Lepisosteus oculatus: one gene and its partner. The protein of the gene in region 1 interacts with the protein of each later gene in a pairwise test. Links are inferred from orthologs where the notes say so. Each region holds a gene or a part of one and is shown in the gene's direction. Other genes may lie near its edges. The genes, in order: ipo13b and pax10.

The links.
Region 2: the proteins of ipo13b (region 1) and pax10 interact in a two-hybrid assay, tested with the Homo sapiens proteins (2 studies listed by BioGRID and IntAct). The link is inferred for Lepisosteus oculatus from reciprocal best matches to the Homo sapiens genes IPO13 and PAX6.

The regions. Positions count from the first base shown.
Region 1 is NC_090704.1:31,940,556-31,947,945, forward strand, and holds the start of ipo13b (importin-13), read left to right. Parts: upstream 1-4,219; 5' UTR 4,220-4,596; coding exon 4,597-4,662; intron 4,663-7,390. UniProt on the Homo sapiens protein: Functions in nuclear protein import as nuclear transport receptor. Serves as receptor for nuclear localization signals (NLS) in cargo substrates.
Region 2 is NC_090702.1:244,599-252,318, forward strand, and holds the start of pax10 (paired box 10), read left to right. Parts: upstream 1-4,538; 5' UTR 4,539-4,619; intron 4,620-6,810; 5' UTR 6,811-6,873; coding exon 6,874-6,994; intron 6,995-7,720. UniProt on the Homo sapiens protein: Transcription factor with important functions in the development of the eye, nose, central nervous system and pancreas. Required for the differentiation of pancreatic islet alpha cells.

The DNA.
Region 1 (7,390 bases):
TGTTGTTGTTGCGTTTTTTTTTTTCGTTCCCCGTTTCCCGGGATGAAAGATGTAGTAGCCTTAGTTGTCAAAGGCCCTTTGAGCTATAAATAACTGCGGGAGAGAGCTAGGGAGCGTGTGTGAGAGATACAGAGGGAGGGGGCAGTGGTAAGAGATGTTTCCTCTCTCACCCTCTTCCCTGAGCTGCTGAGCCCCAAAGCAACGGATTTACAGCAGCGAGAAGTGCCACGTGTGTCGGCCGGCGCCTAGTGGAGTGTGCCGGTCACTGTAGACCGCAACACACAGCGACCGGTTTGAGGACGCTCTGAATGTGCCGAGAAGTTCTTCGTATAACTCCCAGCCCTTCTTTTTGCCTCGATTCCGGGATTTCACAGAAGGATCGGTGCAGCAGAGTGGTAAACGGAGTCCCGGGTCCCGCTCTGGGTCGCGCAAGCGGCTTGTTGTCCGGCTCCCTGCTGCCTGGCTGCTCGGTCCTACAGTAGTTCAGTCTGGCTGCGAGCGCTGAAATGAGACTTGGTTTTGCTCGCCCTCTTCTCGAGCAGCAGGCTGGCAGACACGCCTCGAGTGGCAGGCGATTGGCTCCTTAGAGTTTTTAAGGACGTTTACAACACTGCTTTTATCACCCCCCTCCACACACACACATACACAGCCTCCGCCTGCACAAGCCGCTCCCCTGCTAAACGCACGACGCGAAAGATCTCACAGAGGAGCGACCTCACTGTTCTGCTGTAGGTGCACCCTCTGGACGTGGATCCAGTCTGTTGCAGGGCTGTGGGGGTTAGTGATGGCGAGGTAGGCGAATTTCAGGCGTGGGCAGGGCTGACTGGTCATATCGGTCTAGCCTCCACGACTGGCCGTGTCATTCGGGGATCGTTTTGATTTGTAGTTTCTGGTTCAATCGCCTCGTTGCATTAAACACAACCAGGGGACTCCACAGCCTCAGTGACGTGCTGACTCCAATCTAGGTATCGCTGCAATACAGATACAATGTCTTTCATTCTTCTTTGGGGTACTTTTGGCCAGAGCTTTAACGACGTGTTTGCGAGCATTAAAAGAACTGAGAGTACAAGGTTTCCTGCGTAGCAAATGTGTACATCACAGGCCGTCTGCCCATTTCAGCGCGCTGGTAAACACGCGTGGTTACCAGTCCTCCGCTCTGAGAAGTGTTCTGGGGGCGGCCGGTCCGTGGGGGTTACCTTCAGCCCCGTACTGTGCGCATCACTCTGGGTGACAGGCGCTCTGCCTTGAAAGTTTGTTCTCGAGGTTACTTTCTTTAAAATGGTCTCTAAAACTAAAGGAGCACTTTAACTAAAGGGGCAGTTTTGATTTTGTTTCCATAGGCGGCATTAGTAAAAAAGAAAAAAGCATGTGCAGCAGAATGGGAAAACAAACCCCCAGACACCCTGAAAAAAACGGTTTTTGGGACAGATGACACTTATCCGCTAAGGAGAGACAACAGCGGAAGCAGAGACGGACCAATACGCTGCCCCGCAGCGCGACAGATCCACACCCAGCACAAAGAGCGTTTTCCCGCAGAGACGCACCTGTCACTGTTATTGACCAGAAACCCACAGAGCTACAGGCCAGCGGCTGAACGCGTTCTAGAATCACAGTCCCGCCCCTGTAGGGCAGACACGTAAATGACTAGGCTTTAAGAACATGTATATTTTAATATCTTCACAGCCGGATATATTTAATTGTATGCAGTGTTAACGAGCTGTTTTGACACCGGCATTTCTTTACATTACCTACCCCACCGTGCCTTGAGCCTGCCTTGTCTGGTACTGGAGAAAACGAAACAACACATTTAAAATCACGACTTATCAGTAATAATGTGAGACGGTTTATTTATTTATGATGATGATGATGATAATGATGATGAAAAACAGAAGGTAACATGTATTGAAAGTATTTTCTAAACTGTGAGGAACCTGTATTTTGACATCAGAAGTATGTGTTTTCTCTCACCAGTTGCTGAATCACATCAGCTGTAAATGACGTCAGTCACCCCAAAATCAGCTGCTCCTGTTTCCATGACACGCGGTTTCCAGAGCAACCCTCGACTGCACTTGTACCCTGGCACCGCTAGAGGTCGCTGCATTCACTCTTCTTAGGAATAGCTGCTGCAGCGTGCGGACTACGGCTGGTATTGCAGATCAACCGCTCAGACAATTACGGCAGCGATGGGTGTCAAACATACGCCAATATATCGAGCAGTGCATTTTACTGTACAGTCTTTTTCTTTTTATAAAGTATTCCTAGTGTAGTAGTAATCATCATCATCATTCTGTCAGTTAATGTTTTTGTTTTTCTTATTAATTTAACCAACGTTAAGAATATACGTTAAGAACATGTGAACAGAAGAGAAATGACAACCCTAAATCTATCTTTTCGGGCAGCTTGTTCCAGACCCCTGATGCTCTTGTGTAAGGAAATGTAAGGAAATCACGGGTGTGTCCTGGGTTGACCTTTTCAACTCCTGCTTTGGTCTGTATTCTGGCCTGCTGCACACTGGCCACAATACTCTTCTATGGAGCCGCCTGCTCTGGAGTTCTGTCTTCAGAGCTTAAAACTGCTGCTGTCACACTAGTGAAAAAAAAAAAACGAACCAACCAAACGGTATGTGAAGTAATTACAGGCTTACTTCAAACCATTTGTCATCGAAAAGAACGAATTCTCGGGTGGTTTTTGTTTCACCCAAGACCTCAGCTGCGTGGTTAGGCTGATTATTAAATTCGCTGCCTAATTGTAATACTTCTAACACCGATTTGAGGTAACAGTACCTCTAAGAAAACTGGACATATTTTAATTCAGAAAATAATTGTTTTTTTTTAATAAGTGTTTAATAATTGACTACTCATGTTGAAACGAAAACCAGAAGACACAAGGCTCTCCAAGTAACTGAGTTTGCGACCTCTGGTCTGAAACAGTACGGCACTCCGTCCAGCGCGACTGTATCGGCTGTGGTTTGCCAGTAGGGGACATTGTTACACTAGAATATCCCATTTTGTTAAACTCCACCCCTCCCACCCGCAAGGAGAGAAAAATACATTTTCCACAATGCACCGCGGGGGACCTATCTTTATATAAATGACCGTAGCGTGCCTGATCAAAAAGAGAAATTAAATAGCGGGAAGACCGCAAGGGAAAAGGAAAACGCAGCGGGGCTCATTCTCCACCCCCCCCATTTGAATTATTTTAATGTACACTATGGCATTATTGCTGACATTTTGCTTGTTTCCTGTCATACAGCGCGTGATTTCGCATGTTGAATCCCCCCTCTCCCTCCTGTCTGATGGAGTCCGAGGCAGCAGCGTCATTCCGGATGAGGACCCAGCGAGGCTGGCTGAGTGTGCTCTTGCTGCAGTGAAGCAGCGGCGTGTCTGACAGTGACGAGACGGAATTTGTACAAATATCCATATATCAGTGCTCGCACGTATGTAGTGTAAGCTGCATATCCAGCTGTAGTTCTGTACCTTAAGTTATGGCATGACGGACCGCCTTAGTCACGGAGTAGCTAGCGTTATCGTGTTTCCCACCAGTAGCATCTTCGTATACTGATGGTTGATGCATTTTTTTAAAAAATAAGGCTGGCTTTTCGATGCCGATGTGAGAGGAACGCTGAGTGGCATCATGGACATCGGAGCGGAGTAGCTCAGGCGCTCAGCTGCTGTCTCTGAGGAGCTCCGGCGACCGGGAGCAGGCAGGGGCTGTTTTTTTAACGCCTCCCGAATCGCAGGGGGGACGAAAATTCAGGGAGAGAGGGCGGGTGTACCGTTTCTGAAAGGGTTGCAGGGAGGCGAGGAGTCGTTGATTTTGTTTTATCTGTTCGGAAAACACGCTTAGTCCAGAGGTCTGGGGCGTAGGGTAGCTTGAAGGAGAGATCGGACTAGTGCCCCGCCGGTCATTCCCGCTTCACCAGAGGCGGCGATCACAGGGGCAGTAGTTGTATTTCTCCGGACGTTCCCCAAACCACCTGTCCTGTCCGACAGTCGGCTTTCTACCCCTGCCCGTTTCTCACTCGCATTGAGCAGGCATGGAGCCGGGCCGACCCGCTCACTCTCCCGATTCCCTGGAGTTCACGGTGGAGAACGTGGAAAAGGTGAGTCAAATTAAATTCCCCATCCCCACTCGTACCCGTGGTTGTCACGGTAATGCAGTTTTGCGGTAATCGTGGGAAAGGTGGTTTACGCTAGTAGTGGTATTTTAAGGGGCTCAGGCGCTCAGCTGCTGTCTCTGAGGAGCTCCGGCGACCGGGAGCAGGCAGGGGCTGTTTTTTTAACGCCTCCCGAATCGCAGGGGGGACGAAAATTCAGGGAGAGAGGGCGGGTGTACCGTTTCTGAAAGGGTTGCAGGGAGGCGAGGAGTCGTTGATTTTGTTTTATCTGTTCGGAAAACACGCTTAGTCCAGAGGTCTGGGGCGTAGGGTAGCTTGAAGGAGAGATCGGACTAGTGCCCCGCCGGTCATTCCCGCTTCACCAGAGGCGGCGATCACAGGGGCAGTAGTTGTATTTCTCCGGACGTTCCCCAAACCACCTGTCCTGTCCGACAGTCGGCTTTCTACCCCTGCCCGTTTCTCACTCGCATTGAGCAGGCATGGAGCCGGGCCGACCCGCTCACTCTCCCGATTCCCTGGAGTTCACGGTGGAGAACGTGGAAAAGGTGAGTCAAATTAAATTCCCCATCCCCACTCGTACCCGTGGTTGTCACGGTAATGCAGTTTTGCGGTAATCGTGGGAAAGGTGGTTTACGCTAGTAGTGGTATTTTAAGGGGGCAACACGCACGTAAGGTCTGGCTTTATCATCACTAGTGCCGCTGATATCGGGTATCAAGATGTCTGTTGCTATTTTTATGAGGTGAATGTTACTATTGGCAGGGCTGTTGTTTAGGCTGTGGGTGTTTGTGACAGTGTCAGCTCCCACCTCCCCCCCCCCCGGGGGCGTGGGGGTATTGGCTGCGCCGTGTCCGTGCGGAGACGGTGACACTGGAGCACAAACGCTGCGAGGCGGGGGGTGTCACATACCGCACGCACCTGGCAGCCGGCTCCTCTGCAGCTCTTCCACACCCGACACCTCAGCAGTGCGATCGGGCTGATCGATACTCCTGACAGCTGCAATGGACTTTGACGTCCCCGGGCACCAATGGGCTGTGGTGTGTGTTTCTAAGGTCCGGTCTGACCCGCTGTGCAGTGTGAGCGGTGTCTTGGTTGTGTTGTCAGGGAGCTCACAACGAAAGCTTGGGAGCGATGACAACAGCCACGTTAAGTCAGCCTCAGCCGCTCTAAAGCCTGATGATTCTTGACGTCGTTTCCTTTAAAAGGGGTAAATACTACACCTCTCTTCCAACCACTCCGTCAGCCCATCTCCAGCTGTTTAGCTGCCCCTTGTCCACCCCTCAATCTGCAGAGGGACCCCAGCCTCCCTGTGCTGTGGCCAGCGGGCAGGCCCACTGCCGAGAGAATTAAGATGAAAATTTACTGCGACTGAAACGCTCTGTACCCATTCTCAACACGCTTAAGCTCGGTTTGGGCTGAGTTTTAGTGATGGTCAGGTCAAACCTGCTGGGCTTCTGTCTGACAGCTCCACCTGGACAGTGTGGACGGAGAGTGAGGGCAGGGCGCTGTCAGGGCCCGCTGGACTCTTCTCTGCAGTCCGCATCATTCTGGTGTGTCTGGGCAAGCAAAGACCTGTAGCTCACAGGCTCCCAGTCAACAGCAGCTTGTGTCTAGAAGGGCAGATTTTAAAGAATGCTGGGCAGCTCTGTTGCTAAGTTACCTGCAGACTGCCCTGAGGTTTAGTTGGGTCCAGTTGGTCTTTCCCCCGTGTGTCAAATTTGTAGTGATGGCGAGGTGAGTAAGCAGCTGGAGTGGACAGATTTATTTGTATGACCGACCTGCCTGTAATCTTCAGTTTTGCCAATCTCTTTGCGGTACGGGGCCCTCCCAGTGCAGAGACAGTGGGAGTAAAAAAAAAAATCTCAAGTTTAAACCAGGGATGGCCACATTTGGCCCGTCAGAGATCGCACTCCAGCCGCTACAAAATGGCGGCTCAGTTTTCTGTCTCTGCCTCGTCAGCGGCTTGGACTGGAGGGGAGTCTATTCCTTGAGGACCGCAGGGCCTGCCTTTCCTGCTCCTCTCTGCCCAGGAGGTGTTTAACGAGCTGAATCCGTTATTGATTCACAGGTTCAAGCTTCCCCAGTATTTCCCGTACGGGAGCTCCAGCGATGACTTCCAGGTTTTGTGGTCAGCTGCGGACATTTTATCTAATAACGCTATAGTTCCTTTGGGATCTTTTTTTTTTTTTCCTCTGGATTCCATCAGGCAGTTGCGGTTTTCAGCTGTAGCGCTGATGTGATCAGTCAAAAGCCAGAACGCTGGAATTTGAGGGTGGCGTTCTGCATGATGGAGGCATCAAGTGTACCCACCTGACTTGTTAGCTGTTGTCAAGGGTGTGGGCTGTTGGGGCGGGTTGGCTGGACAAAGCTCTCATCCAGCGCTAGGCCTGCTGGCTCTTGTCCTCTCTGCTTTTGCTTACTAATGACTGGCCAATGATGGTTCTGGGCAGTGGTGTCAACATTCATACCAGAACCCAATTTTTTCCCCATCCAAGCTCATAGCCTACCTTCAGAGATCCATTAAGCCGTTTTTATGTCTACTGGAGGGAGTTCGGGATGAGTGATTTTTAGAATGGGATTTTTCCGTTATTAGTTGTGAGGTGATAAAGCAATAATGGGGGTTTGAAATGAACACTGTTCTGCACGTGCCGAAGCCAGAGAACGTGGGCAGGGTGAAGACTGCTGAAGAATCCTTTGTCTTTTCTCCTGCTGGGGGAGTCTGCTTCTTTTTTGTTTTTGTTTGCACAAGGCGCAGATAAGTGAGTCCGAAGCCGCTGGTTCTTCAGTTTTGTGATCGTCTAAGCCGGGGGTCATCAGTCCTGGTAAAGCACCGGCACCCGTTAAGAGCGGAGAGCAGGTGGGAAAGTGACCCAGTCTAGCCCGTGATGAGCCGATTCAGGTTGTTCAGGCCTCAGCTGTGCTACACACCTGTAGACAGGACGGCCCCGCGGGATTAGAAAGGGAAACCGCTGGTGTAAATCCCTGTGACTGGCCTGATTCTGGGTGGCCTTCTCTCCTGCGCTCAGCTCGGCTCTGGGAGCTGCAGGGCGCTCTGGGATTGCCTTCCTGCTGTAGTCATGGCCCTGCGCTGGGTGTGTGCGTGGGCTGGCGGGGGGATGGAGCGAATGATGAAATGGGCGCTGGGGCATTGCACTGCAGGGATGTTGTTGACGTGCTGGCTTGTGTTAGATGGGAGCTCTGAGGTTGAGGGTGCAGACCAGGGTTCGAGCAGACAGCAGGGCGGGACTCACCCAAAAGGCACAGCTTCCTTGCTG
Region 2 (7,720 bases), on another chromosome or scaffold:
TTCTAACAGTATAGGGACTGTGGGCTGTGCTGCACTTTGTATCCTCTCATATGAATCACTGGAAGCTGCTGTCTCGCGCTGGTGCCTTATTCTTTGTCAGAGGGCCGGTCTGTGACACTGTGTCAGTGTGACAGTGCGGATAGAAGCTGTGTCTCAGAGAGCACCAGGATCCTGTGTTGAGATGAGAAACGTCCTGTCTCTCCCTGTGCGCAGTCCATGAGCACACCGCCTGCAGCCAACAGGTTCCTCCTCGCTCCGGCCCGAGCTCACCTCCTGCAGGTGTGTCCCAGCAGGCATCCCGCGGACAGACACACAGAGCTCCCGACAGACTCTCGTCTCTCCCTCCCCAGCCCCCCTCCACCCCCCCGCTCCCTCTCCGCGCCGCCGGCCGCGTCTGGGACTGCGCTGACCGATGCGAGCCGACAGCAGCCCGAGCGCCGCGGAGAGAGAGCGCGGCCGCGTCACCACATCGCCCGGGGCTACGCGCGGCACCGCGAGGGGGGGAGAGAGAGAGCAGGGGGGCAGGGGGCAGGGGGGAGGGGGGCCGTGCTACTTAGAAGCCTGTTCCTGTTTTTCTCACTCGGCACTGGAAGAGTATCGGGGAGGAGCAGCCAGGATGCTGGCCACAGCGCTGAGCAGGAGAGCCGTGCCACCTGTACGAGGGGACAGAAAGGGCCTCGCTCTCCGCGCCTCCCAGACGAGGAGAGGAGATGGCTGACGCTGGTGGAGCTCGGGTGTGCCTCCTGCTCCAGTGGGGTGAGCCCGCCTGAGCCGAGCTCCTGCCCCGGGGTGTCCAGTGGGGTGAGATGGTACAAAGAGAGCCGCCGGACCTGAAGTCCTGGGTCTTCACTGAGATATTTCCAGCCTGCGCAGGTAGAGAGCTGTACTAGAGTGAACGGCTCTTTCGGAGTACGAGTGAAGAAGCCTCTAAAGTTTCGGCTTTTATTTTTCCCTCTGACTTGATTAGGGTGACAGAGATTTGTCCCGGCAGTGTTGCCATGGAGACCTCTTCTCCAGCACCCCCCCCCACTCCAAATTCTTCTCTCCTCAGAAATCACCCCCCCCCACCCAGTGTCACCTCGGCCCCCTCAGCAGCAGGAGAGAGAGGAGAGACGAGAGAGGGAAGAGAGGAGAGGGAGAGAAGAGGAGAGAGAGAGAGATAGCAAGAGGAGAGAGAGAGGGAGAGAAACAACATGACAGGCTGACCTGAGAGGAGGGAAAGAACAGACCCTGAGGGAGGAGATCTCTTCTCTGTAAACACACACTGACACACACACTGACACACACACTGACACACACTGACACACACACTGACACACACACTGACACACACACTGACACACGCACTGACACACGCACTGATACACGCACTGACACACACACTGATACACGCACTGATACACACTGACACACACTGATACACACACTGACACACACACTGACACACGCACTGATACACGCACTGACACACACACTGATACACGCACTGATACACACACTGACACACACTCTGATACATAAACTTACACACACACTGACACACACACTGACACACACTGACACACACACTGACACACACACTGACACACACTGACACACACTGATACACGCACTGATACACACACTGACACACACACTGACACACACACTAATACACACACTAATACACACACTGACACACACTGATACACGCACTAATACACACACTGACACACACACACTAATACACACACTGACACACACACTGACACACACTCTGATACATAAACTTACACACACACTGATACATAAACTTACACACACACTGACACACACACTAATACATAAACTGACACACACACCAATACATAAACTGGCACACACACTGACACACACACACACATAGACACTGAAACACACTCTCACAAATAGATACACACACTCACACTGATTCACATAGACACACACACGAATACATAAACTGACACACACACTGATACACATAGACACTGAAACACACACACACTGATACACATAGACACACAAACTGACACACACTAATACACATACACACTGAAACACACTGAATCACACACTGACACAAACAGACTCACATGCTGACACACACACACTGAGAGACACACTGGGATACAGTGAGGTACACACACTGAAATACAAACACTGACCGTACTGACACACGCACTGAGAAACGGACAGTGAGATCCACACACAATACACACACTGGGAGGTACACACTGGGAGACACACACACACACTGAGAGTCACACTAACACACAAACTGGGAGACACACGCTGACATTCACACAGTGAGATACTCACACTGAGATACACAATGACACGTGAATGTCTCAGTGTCTCTCAGCACTGGGGAGTGTCTCAGTGTGTCTCAGCACTGTGGAGTGTCTCAGTGTCAGTGTCTCTCAGCACTGGGGAGTGTCTCAGTGTCTCTCAGCACTGTGGAGTGTCTCAGTGTCAGTGTCTCTCAGCACTGGGGAGTGTCTCAGTGTCAGTGTCTCTCAGCACTGGGGAGTGTCTCAGTGTCTCTCAGCACTGGGGAGTGTCTCAGTGTGTCTCAGCACTGTGGAGTGTCTCAGTGTCTCTCAGCACTGTGGAGTGTCTCAGTGTCAGTGTCTCTCAGCACTGGGGAGTGTCTCAGTGTCTCTCAGCACTGGGGAATGTCTCAGTGTCAGTGTCTCTCAGCACTGGGGAGTGTCTCAGTGTGTCTCAGCACTGTGGAGTGTCTCAGTGTCAGTGTCTCTCAGCACTGTGGAGTGTCTCAGTGTCTCTCAGCACTGTGGAGTGTCTCAGTGTCTCTCAGCACTGGGGAGTGTCTCAGTGTCAGTCTCTCTCAGCACTGGGGAGTGTCTCAGTGTCAGTGTCTCTCAGCACTGTGGAGTGTCTCAGTGTCTCTCAGCACTGTGGAGTGTCTCAGTGTCTCTCAGCACTGGGGAGTGTCTCAGTGTCTCTCAGCACTGTGGAGTGTCTCAGTGTCTCTCAGTGTCTCTCAGCACTGTGGAGTGTCTCAGTGTCTCTCAGTGTCTCTCAGCACTGGGGAGTGTCTCAGTGTAAGTGTGTCTCAGCATTGGGGAGTGTCTCAGTGTATTTGTGAACTGTCCCTCTTCTTTCTAGCCTTTGTCCCCCTTGTCTTCCAATGTCTTACTCTGTATCTCTAGTTCTCCATTCACGTAGAAAGCAGAAATAGATACTTCCATACTGCATGTGAAACCTCTTTCATCTTCCTCCTTCATCTGCTCCGCTCTCTCCTTCTGTCTCTGTGTCCCAGCCTCTCGCTCCTGTGAAGGAGGTGACAGACCCACCAGAGACAGGCTGCATCACCCTCTCAACTGGAAGTGAACTGCACTGACACTCTCCTCCTCTCCCCCACCCCCCCGCCCTCTCCCCATTTCTTCTGGGGAAGGATGTGCAGAGGCCGTCTGAGTCGAGTGCATCCCTGTATCAACAGGAATGCCAGTTAGTGCAGTCTGCGTCTGCAACACAGATACCCTCACTCAGCAGGAGAGACGATGGAGGACACCGGACACAGAGAAAAGAGACTGACCCCCAAAATCCAAACACCCTAATTCACCAGATATAAAAGCCTGGAGGGCACAGACCACACTTGGGGGTGTCAGGGAGCCCCTTTAGGAAATATCTCTGTGGATGAAGTTAAGAGTCAGAGCGTGTACAGGAAATACAGCATCCCAGGCGATGTGGTCACCCAGCTGGAGTGCAGAGAGCTGCCCCTCCTTTCTGCCCCTTGTGTCCAGGGTTTTGTGCAAAAGGGAGAAATAGGAGCTTTGCACCCCAGGGAGCCCCAGATGCACACATTGCTGAGAAACTCTTGTACTTCTGGGAAGGACAGTTGTGTTTTCTGAAGTCAGTGTCTGTGTCTCCAGCTATATCTTTGTCTGCTGTACATCTGCTGTACATCTGTGAGACATAACGAATGTTTATACCCATGATTCACTCCAACAGCTGCTCTTGCCAGCCTGTCCTGGAAGGGTCTACAGTAGCAGATCCACAGTAGATCCTTCCAGATCCACAGTAGATCCTCTCACCTGTGTCTGAGGCGTGTGCCCCTCACAGGCCCAGCGGGGGACGTGCTGGAGACCACCTTGCCCGGGCCCTCGTGTCGCTGGAGCAGCTGTAGGGCCTCACTCTGTAACCGCTGGCTTCCCTAAGGCAACACACAGCTGGAGCAAGAGGAGTGAGAGGCCAGCCTGGTTCCAGGTGCGAGGAAGCGGGCTGTGAAGCAGAGTCTCGAAGCTGCCTGGCGTTTTCTGCGGAAACGCACCCCTTTGTTTCTCTTCCATAAGTAATTCCGGCTGCCTGACCTCCTTCCCTCTCCCTCCTGATCGGCCCATTCTGGAGCATTAAGTTCAAAGATGACACTAACACTGAGCGTATGTGTCACTGCACTCCCGCGCCCCCCCCGCGCTCCCTTTTCCATCGCTCGGAGCGACGAGCGCCCGCAGACGCCTCCCGCCTCCCGCCTCCCGCCTCCCGCCTCCCGCCTCCCGCCTCTCTCTCCTCCGCCTGCGTCCCCCAGCCCCGCCAGTGTCTCCTCGGCAGAGCGCGGACCAGGCTGCCTGCGACGAGGACTCGGCACCCAGCTGCAGGTAAGTCTGGCGCGGGAAGAGGGACCCCCAGCTCGCGGTGGTCCGCAGGCTGCAGGCGGGACAGAGCCGTCCCTGCTGCCGACCGGGCAGGGCAGGAGCTCCGGGAGAGGGGAACACTGGGCTCGGGCTAGGGGGGTGACCCCTTCGCCCCCCCCCCGACCGAGCCCCGTTACCCCTCGTTTACCCCACCGTCGCTGTGGGGCGTCCTGCTCAGTGCAGCCAGGGGGGTGGGTGCTGGTTTGAGGCGCAGGGTCTGGAGGCTGGGCGTGCGCAATATTCCTGTCTCTCGATAAAGGATTTCTGAAGCCGCCGCGAAGGGAAATCGCAGGAGTCTGCGGCCGCCTGATCCCCCGCTGCCGGGATGGGCTGTTGCCGATAGTCACATCGCACCGCCGTTCCTACACTGTCTTACAGTTCTGTGTGGCATTAGGACAGCGGTAAGGCCAGACTGGATCCCAGCAGTGTGATCCGCTGGGTGAGAGCCTTCTGATTTCCAGAAGACCGTCATTCCCGATATTCCGGGTCACTGCTGAAGGCCACACGAGCTCAGAAGCTCTGCTGCAGTCCTTTCTTTCTCAAAGTGCAAAGATTATTCGGAAGCTGGTGGAAGTGGGATTTATCCCAGCTGGTCCTGAGAGCCCCAGTGTCCGGTGTCTTTAGTCTCTCGCTGATGTCGGAAATGGGATTCCAGAGATTTCCGCCATGGAGCTCCGATAAGAGAGAGGTCTTACTACATTTCTCCAGGAAAAGAAATGTGAGGTTTACTGTCCTGATTTTATGCTCAGATCTAGTGAAAATGAGCTCCTTTCTTTCCCTGGCTGAGGGGAATGTTTCCTCTGGATCAGAGTACCGGACTGCGGCTGCTGGGGTTTTAACTAGGACAGAGAAACTGCATCTCCAACCTCTGCGCTGGTCTCACTACACTGGCTTCCAGTTGCCTACAAAATAGCTTTTTGAAATTTGAATGCTAAAATTAAAAGTCAGTAAATGGACTGGCGCCTAACTATTTCACTAAGGCTGTATGAGCACTAAATCAGTTTTCACTGGTCCTAGAGAAGACCTTTAAATGACGGGAGCTGGCGAGAGAGATGAATTGTGTTCCCTCCTTTGTCACAGATGCACTTTCAGGAACGGGTTCTGTACCTAGACTGAAGAATACCGTCTTTTATCATCTTGCCAGTCTTTTTAACCTGCTTATCTATGTTTGATTTTTTGTCGTACATTGTATTGTCGTACATGTATTCCTCAGCTCTTCTGCTTTCTCACTCAACTCTGTGGGTAAATCTGCTGTACAGATTGAGGTTGACTGGAAATGTTAACTGGGAATGTTAATTGGGTGTTTAAGTCACAGTAAATTAATTTGGCCAGAGCAGTGCAGGCTGGGACCCCCTGTGGAGGGAGGAGAGACCCAGGGGCAGCTGCAGAGGAGCAGAGGGCAGGAGGAGGGGGGCAGGAGACGTGTGTGAGGGAGAGGAGAGGCCTGACGTATCGGATTTATTTTTTTAACGCGAGGAAATGACGTCGCGAATGATTCCGAATCAGGACAGCTGAGGCTGATTGAACGCGGCTGCCGTCAAGCCTCCCGAACGCTCGCTGTAAACTGCTGTTGTGTGTGATTGCAGCACAGACCCTTCCCCACAGCGGTGGGCCAGGGCACCAGCGTGCCCGTGCAGGCAGGGCTGTGTCCAGCTCCCTGCAGCACAGACCCCTTCCCCACAGCGGTGTGCCAGGGCACCAGCGTGCCAGTGCAGGCAGGGCTGTGTCCAGCTCCCTGCAGCACAGACCCCTTCCCCACAGCGGTGGGCCAGGGCACCAGCGTGCCAGTGCAGGCAGGGCTGTGTCCAGCTCCCTGCAGCACAGACCCCTTCCCCACAGCGGTGGGCCAGGGCACCAGCGTGCCCGTGCAGGCAGGGCTGTGTCCAGGCCGCAGCTGGTGGTAGGGTTAGGACTCCAGGCCTCTTCCTCCAGGGACAGCAGGCAGGGGGCCGAGGAGGACAGGGATCGGGATCCTGGCTGACAGCTGGGACTGCTGGAGTTAGCCCTGGACATCACGAGTGGGATATCCGGAAACTTTTGTTTTGCAGTACAGTCAGGAGTGCTGTGAAATTTGAATGAAATGGCTTGTACATCCCTGTTCCAGGTATAGTGGAGTTCAATATTCCTCAGCCACTTCCTCTCTTGTCATTTGCAGTTCCTGCCATTGGACCAGTGTGGAAGGTCAGGGTGTAGGTGAGAGGTGACAGGTCAGAGGTCGATGGGTATAGAGGGCATGTATGAGAAGCTGGCCATGATCAATCTGCAGAGCGGGTCTAACTGGAGTGGACCCACCAGCTGGTACCACCAGGACAGCACTGTGCCAACACAGCACACTAATGGTAAGAGTGGCTTTCTGATAGAAAACACAGGGACCAGAGCAGTGCACTGTGACATCAGAGTCTGAAGGAGTGAGATATGACATCATAGGCTGGGAGGTGAACTATGACATCATAGACTGGGAGGGATGAACTATGGCATCAGAGGTTAGGAATGGGTGAAATAGGACGTCATAGGCTGGGGAAGTGAACTATGACATCAGAGGCTTTTAAGGAGTGAGATATAACATCAGTGACTACAGCTACAGTCTTGTCTGGAGAACAGAGCAGGAGGAGGTTCACTAACTCTTGCAGAGTGATGCAGACTGAGTCAGTAGTCAGTAGTAGTGCAGGGGATCGAACTGAGACCCACATGGCCGGAGCACTTGTGCTTTGAGCACTGCATCATCGTACAGATCCTGCAGAACATGTTAGTATTTCTAGCTCTTGCACACTTCTCACAGATACGCTTCCCTGTAAGTGTCTTATTTCTCCTGACCTCAGCTCTGACCCCGACTCTGACCCCGACCCCGACACCGCGGGGCGCCTGGGACGGCGGTGCTCTCTCCCGCCTGCCGGCTGATAGGGTCACAGGGTCACAGGGCCACGAAGACGCAGGGCAAGATTGCAGAGCTGCTCTAAAGATGAGAGACATTATCGGCCCCGTGGAGGGTCACGATGCTCAAGTGTCATAGCTGAGCTGGCAGTTCCAATTCAAATTCTATAAAAAAGGGTTTTACGTTTGTTTAA